Regions from separate parts of the Mus musculus genome. Here region 2 is reported to be linked to region 1. Evidence: microRNA targets listed by miRTarBase, many of them from high-throughput screens and not tested one by one. Region 1 holds a microRNA gene; the other region holds the end of a gene's coding sequence.

Evidence for each region. Region 1 holds the annotated microRNA mmu-miR-1193-5p (UGGUAGACCGGUGACGUACA, at 1,280-1,299, shown strand). A microRNA usually pairs through its seed, bases 2 to 8, with sites in the 3' UTR of a target mRNA and lowers its output. Matches are read on the target gene's strand: a 7mer-m8 pairs with bases 2 to 8, a 7mer-A1 pairs with bases 2 to 7 and ends in A, and an 8mer does both.
Region 2: the mRNA of Plekhm3 is a reported target of mmu-miR-1193-5p. The part of its 3' UTR that is shown has no 7-base or 8-base seed match.

Annotation. Positions count from the first base shown.
Region 1 is chr12:109,714,437-109,717,844 of GRCm38, forward strand. It overlaps Mir1193 (microRNA 1193), which reads left to right and starts at 1,235; the gene lies at 1,235-1,355. Mir494 (microRNA 494) reads left to right here and starts at 882; the gene lies at 882-966. It overlaps Mir679 (microRNA 679), which reads left to right and starts at 1,141; the gene lies at 1,141-1,214. Mir666 (microRNA 666) reads left to right here and starts at 2,649; the gene lies at 2,649-2,747. It also overlaps Mir543.
Region 2 is chr1:64,792,323-64,795,730 of GRCm38, forward strand. Plekhm3 (pleckstrin homology domain containing, family M, member 3) reads right to left here. Exons shown (of 8, transcript NM_001039493.1): 8 at 1-2,892. The coding sequence ends at 2,715. Among named protein-coding and RNA genes, the nearest start is that of Fzd5, 56 kb to the left of the region's middle.

The DNA of each region.
Region 1 (3,408 bases):
GGCCAGCTTGGTCTACAGAATGAGTTCCAGGACAGCCAGGGCTATACAGAGAAACCCTGTCTCGAAAAAAACCAAACCAACCAACCAACCAAACAAACAAACAAATAAACAAAAGATGTGAAATCTGTTCTTAGTCCTTAACTCCACCCAGGGTTGTGGTCAGCAGTAGAGCTTTCTGTGGGGTTCCAGGTAGAACACAATTCTCATCTGCAAATCATGAGCCCTTTTCATAGGCATTTCATATCAGATATCTACATTATGATTTATAACAGTAGCAAAATCACAGTTATGAAGTAACATTGAAAATAATTTTACAGTTGGGGATTACCCAACATGAGGAAGTATATTAAAGGGTCACAGCACTAGGAAGGTTGAGAACCACTCGACCAGGGGGTGGAACTGCCTGCCCCTGCCTGCTGCTTCTTTATACTACCACATGTGCTGGCACACATTTACCTTCCTACTAACTTTATAATGTGTCTGCTTTTAGAATCTTACCTTCCCTGGAAACTACCCAGACTCACAACCAGAGGGCTGGGTCGCTTCTCATCACCCACCTACCTCTTGGAACCAGAATCCGAGGCTCATTCCTGAACACCCCCAATGTACTGTACTTGTTGAAGTTGAGAGCTACTATTCCCCTGTTATCTCCTGAGGCACAATTTCTGGGGTCCCTGGTTCCCTTCAGTGACCCCCCCTAAACCTGGAGAGATAAGGAATGCAGGTGGTCTGTGTTGTTGGTAAATAGTCTCAGGCAATTCTGTGGACTGTCAAATTGCACAGGGGTTTTGGTTGCTCTCCAGGGCCCACAGAAGCAGACACTTCTGACAAGGCACCTGGCACTTTCCAGCTGCCTTTGTTTGCTTTCTGACCAGTGCTAATTGATACTTGAAGGAGAGGTTGTCCGTGTTGTCTTCTCTTTATTTATGATGAAACATACACGGGAAACCTCTTTTTTAGTATCAAATCCCACCCTGGGGGCACTCCCTGTCCCTGATGACGCCTTCAGGGAAGGGACCTGGACTGCTGTTCCCTGGACTCTGGGACATGGGACATGGGAGTATGGCATCAGGACTCAGCCCTGGAAGGAAAGTCATTTGAAGAAGGGACAGGGTCCCCGTGGTGGCCTGAGGCTACTCCCTATGGCTTTGGACTGTGAGGTGACTCTTGGTGTGTGATGGCTTTTCAGCAAGGTCCTCCTCACAGTAGCTATAAGGACGTGCCAGCATCGTGACTGAAGGGACAATGATGCCCACTGTTCTCGGGGTAGCTGTGTGGATGGTAGACCGGTGACGTACACTTCATTTATGCTGTAGGTCACCCGTTTTACTATCCACCAACACCCAGACCATCTGTGGGAAGACACCTTGGTGCACACGGCAGCTATGAAGAAGATGTTGGTGGGGTTGAGGCCAGCGTGAAACTAAAATATTTCAAGCAGAGTTAGCTTTTAAGGGGGATCCTTTTTCTGCTTGTGTGTGTACATATATGTGTTCAAGAGAGAGAGTGTGTGTGTGTGTGTGTGTGTGTGTGTTGGGGGGGGGCTACCATGGGCGTGACTTTCATTTTATGATCCTGTATCTTTGCAGTAAACAACGCCATCCTGGAGGATCCCCTGAATGTGAAGCTATATCCCAAGCTGGGGCACATTTCTCCTGGTGGGTGAGTGACAGGTCTCTCTAGCCCAGCATCAAGCCCACATCTGTCACTTATGGCATAGGCTTCGTTGTTCTTGCTCATCTCCATGTCTGTTCAATTTTGCTTGTCTTCTGAGGATTCAAATCATTGGCTGCTTCCCAGCACAAGTACCTGACTAGGAGATGTATTTCAGATATGACATCTCCTTAGGGAAGGACACCAGAGTCCTCATCAATGGAAAAGGTATGTCATGGTGTTCTGTCTGAAAGAATATATTATATTTTCATGTGTGTCCTTCTTTACTAATGCTGAGTATGCCTTCCATACCTAGGACGACCTCCTGATGTATTGCTACCCTGGGGGTGAAGGTGGCTTCCTTGCCCCTCCTCCAGGCTCCTGGCAAGTGGTTCTTGCAGCCATGGCAGAGACATAGAAAGTAAGTAGGAACTCTCCGACTGAGATTAGGAACTACTGTGATTCTGCTCATGTTTCATTGGTCAAGCCAATGAAGGGTGGGGAGGTGCCCTGTAGCCATGTCATGAGGGAGAGAACATGTGTACAAGCATAGGCAACCAACTATCTACCTGGAACACCTAAGAAGTCTATCTTTATTCATGTTCTTTTTTTTTTTTAATCTCAATGTTCCATTTCCCAGCAAGTGGAGGGTCAACAGAATCTGTTCTCAGAACACCACATGCCACTTACATATATTTTTGTCCAGGAGACATTGTCTCGTTCTGACAAAGGCTCAGATATCTTTTTGTTTCCCATTTCATGATAACCTCCTTGCATCAGGGCCTCCACCGTGGAACATAGGTTGATGTCCTCCCCTCTAGCAGATGGGTGGTGACCTCGACTGAGAGGTCACGGGACCCACCTCCTCTCTTGTCACGGATCCAGAGCTGGACTTTGGGAAGCAAAGTCAGGATTATTATATCATTCTCTGATGTTTGAGGAGACTCCAAAGACCTCCCCAAAGGATGACCAATCCAAAGCCTGTCTACAAGATCCTGATTCTGCCTGCGTGGAGCGGGCACAGCTGTGAGAGCCCCCTAGGTACAGCGGGGCTGCAGCGTGATCGCCTGCTCACGCACAGGAAGTGACGACAGCGGTACTCAAGCCACAGGAAGTGACGACAGCGGTACACAAGTGGTACACAGGGTTCCATGCTGCTGACGTACGGTGCTTAATGAGAAGTTGCCCGCGTGTTTTTCGCTTTATATGTGACGAAACATTCGCGGTGCACTTCTTTTTCAGCATCCTATTCTACGTTGAAGACTTCGGGGGTTCAACTACTTACTGACTTCAGGGAAGCCATGTTAGTCTAGGAAAGTAGTCTATGTAGTGAGCCTGGGTTGTGTGAGTTTATCTCCCTTCTTGAATGGTCCTCTGACCTTTCTTAATGAGAATGGGTTTGGGTTGGTTGGCTCCTGCTCCCTCCTCCCTCCTCCACAACACAGTGTCAAAGGAACCAGTTGACCAGACATTATTGATTCCTAGATGAGACCTTAGCCCACAGGGAGATGTTTGCTGAGACTTCTGGGAGGGGAATGAGTCTTCATTTCTGTGAGAGATGTCTGAGTGGATCTCACTGTTCCCTGAGTTTGAAGGCCAGCTAGAATTCAAGAGGACAGTACCCAGGGCTGTTTAGACAGAGGGGGAAGTGCCTGTCCCAGAGGAACCATGGGACATTTGAGTAACAGTACAATCTGGGACCTGCATCCGACACTCCTTGAAGCTCAACACGTCACTGTACCTTTAAGTTATATT
Region 2 (3,408 bases), not on the chromosome of region 1:
CTTCATGCACTCTGAGACATTCTGGGCTGAAAATAGCAATTTTGAATTTTCATGGCAGATCCAACTCCTGATCTGGCTCCACGGTGTCCTATCAGATTCCGGTGGTGGTGGCAGAGAACGCTGTTGTGAGTCCTGAGCGGGCATGGACCATAGTGAAAACAGAAGTAGCAGGACATGGCTCCAATTCCAGATCATGAGTGACAGCATGCTTATCTTTCCCTTTAAAAAATAAACACGAAGCAATGTCCAGGGAAAGGTCTTAGGAGTGTCCAAGGTCCGCTCACACACAGCAAGGCCCTCTAAGGGGCAGTGGGGACAGACAACTCAGGTGTGCTAAACAGGGATCCAGATTTCACCCTCGGCTTTTATTAGGTCTAATCTTGGGCACCTGTGAGTTGGGGCAGGACATGGGGCCAACCTGGGGTCGGGGGCTCTGTTCTTCAAGTCTCTGTGCTCAGTGTGCTGGGAATGGCGTCTCTGACAGTCAGAATCACAGATACATTAGTTTCAGCAAAGGTCAAGAGTAAGCTACGGTGACAGGGACTGGGGGTGGAGGGAGAAGGCACTGTGCCACGGGAGCACATCTGTTTCATAATAAGCAGGTCTAGAATTCTCCAGTGAAAGATCATGTTCTGTTCTCTGAGGCTGGAAAATATAAATACTGTATTTCATGAACAAGAGGAGGAAGAGAGAGACTCAAATCTGTTTGTCTGTTTTGCCAAGTGTTTGAGACTTCCCACCTTTGTCCTTTATGCGCAACATTCCCTACCACTCATTCCAGTGAGGTCAACCTGCCTTCCCAAGAGTTTATAAAAGGCACCGTGAGGTGTCTGGTAAATAGGGCCCTGGCCTTTTACCAAGTTTCATGCCTTGGCTATAGCTTCCGGGTAGCTAGGAAATGAACACACGTGTGGCGTTCAACTGCATGGTCTGGGGCCAAAGGAAATGGTGTGGGCCAAGAGGTGAAATGCTTGCCTCTAACTGCACAAGTCAGCTGAATGTCTCCCACTAGACTGAAGCATCGAGAGCTGGTGCCTGTGGGAGCAACTTGGAGTTGAACCCCTGCGTTCTCTGTGAGCCAGTGTTTCCCCTGATCTGAACAGCAGTGAAAATCCCAAAGGACAGAAGCATGGGCGGCAGTGGGCAACACCAGCTCCAGGTGAAAGACACAAACAAGTACTTCCTGGTGAGTCCATTCTCCTGCCTTGGAAAGAGTTAAGGAAGAAGGAATGCTGGCCGCCAGGGTCTCAGTGCCTTCCTAGCAGCCATCTTGGTCACAGTGACAACTATGCAGGCTCTTACAAGGAAGGGGATCACAGTGGGAGTACACTACCCTCCAAAGAGCGAAGTGATCCACTTCCCATTCCTACCACGCTAGTTACTCTTTGTGTTACTGTAAGGTGGCAATTATATATGTATATATCTACTTATTTCGATAATATTAATTCATTAATTCTATTTATGTTTGGTATTTTCTTAATAGTTTAGGTTTGTATTTTTCAAAATGTTACTTCTTAATAACTTTTAATAATTACATAATTTTTACTTTTAAATATTTTTTAAAAATAATTAAAAACAAGTAAAGCCAGGTATGATGGTGCATACCTATAGTCCCAGCATTTGGAGGATGAGGCAGCAGGGTCACAGGTTAGAGGCCAGCCAGGGATATATAGCAGGACCCTGTCTTAAAATATGTCCCCATCCCAAACAAACAAAACATCCAGGATACAAAAGCAAGAGTAGTTACGCGGACTGAATAAAGGTCAAAAGTGCTGTGAAGGACAAGGAGAAATAAAACATTCAAACGACAGGTGGGTCCTGCCGATGGAGGGCTCTGGGGAAGGAAACATCCGGTCCTCCAAGATGCGTGCAGTAAACTCTACCTAGCAGACTATGCACTGATGCGCTTGAGTGCAATCCTGGGACACTTCCTCCTGGGCAGCACCGTGAAAAACATGACCAGTGTCCTCCATTCCACGCTTGGAACTGTTCTTAGGGCACCCATGTGCACTCTCTGGCAGGCATTGTAGACTCTGATCATCAGGAAGGTGCTGGGCTTCGTACCAGCCAACAGACAACGACATGAAGTGACTGGCCACTGAGGTCCTCGCTTTCTGTACTCTCTCTCAGGGACTGAGTTCACACCCAACGCAGCTCAGTTCCTGATGCTCTCTGTTGAAGGAAGGGGCCTCTCGCTTTCTGCTATGTGGCTCTGCTTCACTCTTCCCATCTCTGCCAAAGACTCTGGGCCTGGAAGTATCCAGAAACATTCTTGTGTTTTAGGGATGTCCTTGTGAAGCAGATGACAATGGCTCTACCTCAGTTTCCCCAGCAAAGGCTAAATGTCAGTAGCAATGCAAAGCTTTGCTGTGAGAGGTGTTTCCTCCAATACTTGTGCAGTCAACTGGCCCTGAGAGCCAGTGTGTATGAAGGGGTCTGAACTACAGAGCAATGTGTGTCAATCACATTTGCTGGGAGCAAGCAGCAAATGTCATGGCCAAGGGTAACTCAGCTATCTGTAGGAGTTCATCCACAAGATCTTTGTGAACTTCTTGGACAATGAGTTATACAAAGCATCATACGTACAGGACGTATAGGTGTATATAATATAAATAAATAACTTATCTATCTACATCTAGCTGAAGAAGGAACAGCCTCATCTGCATGGGCACGGGCAGCCCCTTGGGCGGTGGAGAGTGCATCCTGGCCTACAGTCAGGTGCTTTGGTAGGACAGCTCGAACATGGCGCATGCCTCCTCCAGGCTCTCGTCCACGTTCAGCTGCCGCCAGAAGGACTTCTGCTTCTTCTGCAGTTCCCGTCGGACACACCGTGGGCAGGGGACAGACTTTTCTTTGCACTCAGAATGGAAGACAGCTCCACAGCTTTCACATCTGCAAAAGCCAAGCACAGAAGTGATTACAAGACTACAGAGCACAACAGGCTGTGCGGGACATCCCTGTCCTTGGGAGGAGTTATAACGAGAGACAGGGGCTGCATCTGTTTTCAAAAGGCTCCATGTTAGATTTCACCAGTGACACAATCTCCCTGTGATTGGAACTGGCCTCATGAGACACTGGCTTGGGGGAGGGGAGTCAACACTGACCCAGTGACTCTGTTAACAGTGACAACAGGCACATGAGGCTTTGTGTGCCAGTTTCCTCTCCACCACAGAGAATGGAGTAAAAACTCTAGGGTGAGCAGCCAAGAATGTAACCTAGTGCCTTGGCAGCCGGAACCCTTAGCAGGCCTTGGCAGCCCTGCGCTGTATGCCAGGGAGTGCTCTACTTCAGCCCTCCTAACTTACTGCTTTTATGTCTTAGTTCAGGAAGGTCTGATGGACATCTTCATTCTCTGCATGATGTCCTGGGGCTTGTTATGCTGTGCACTTTTTAAAATGAGGAAAATCC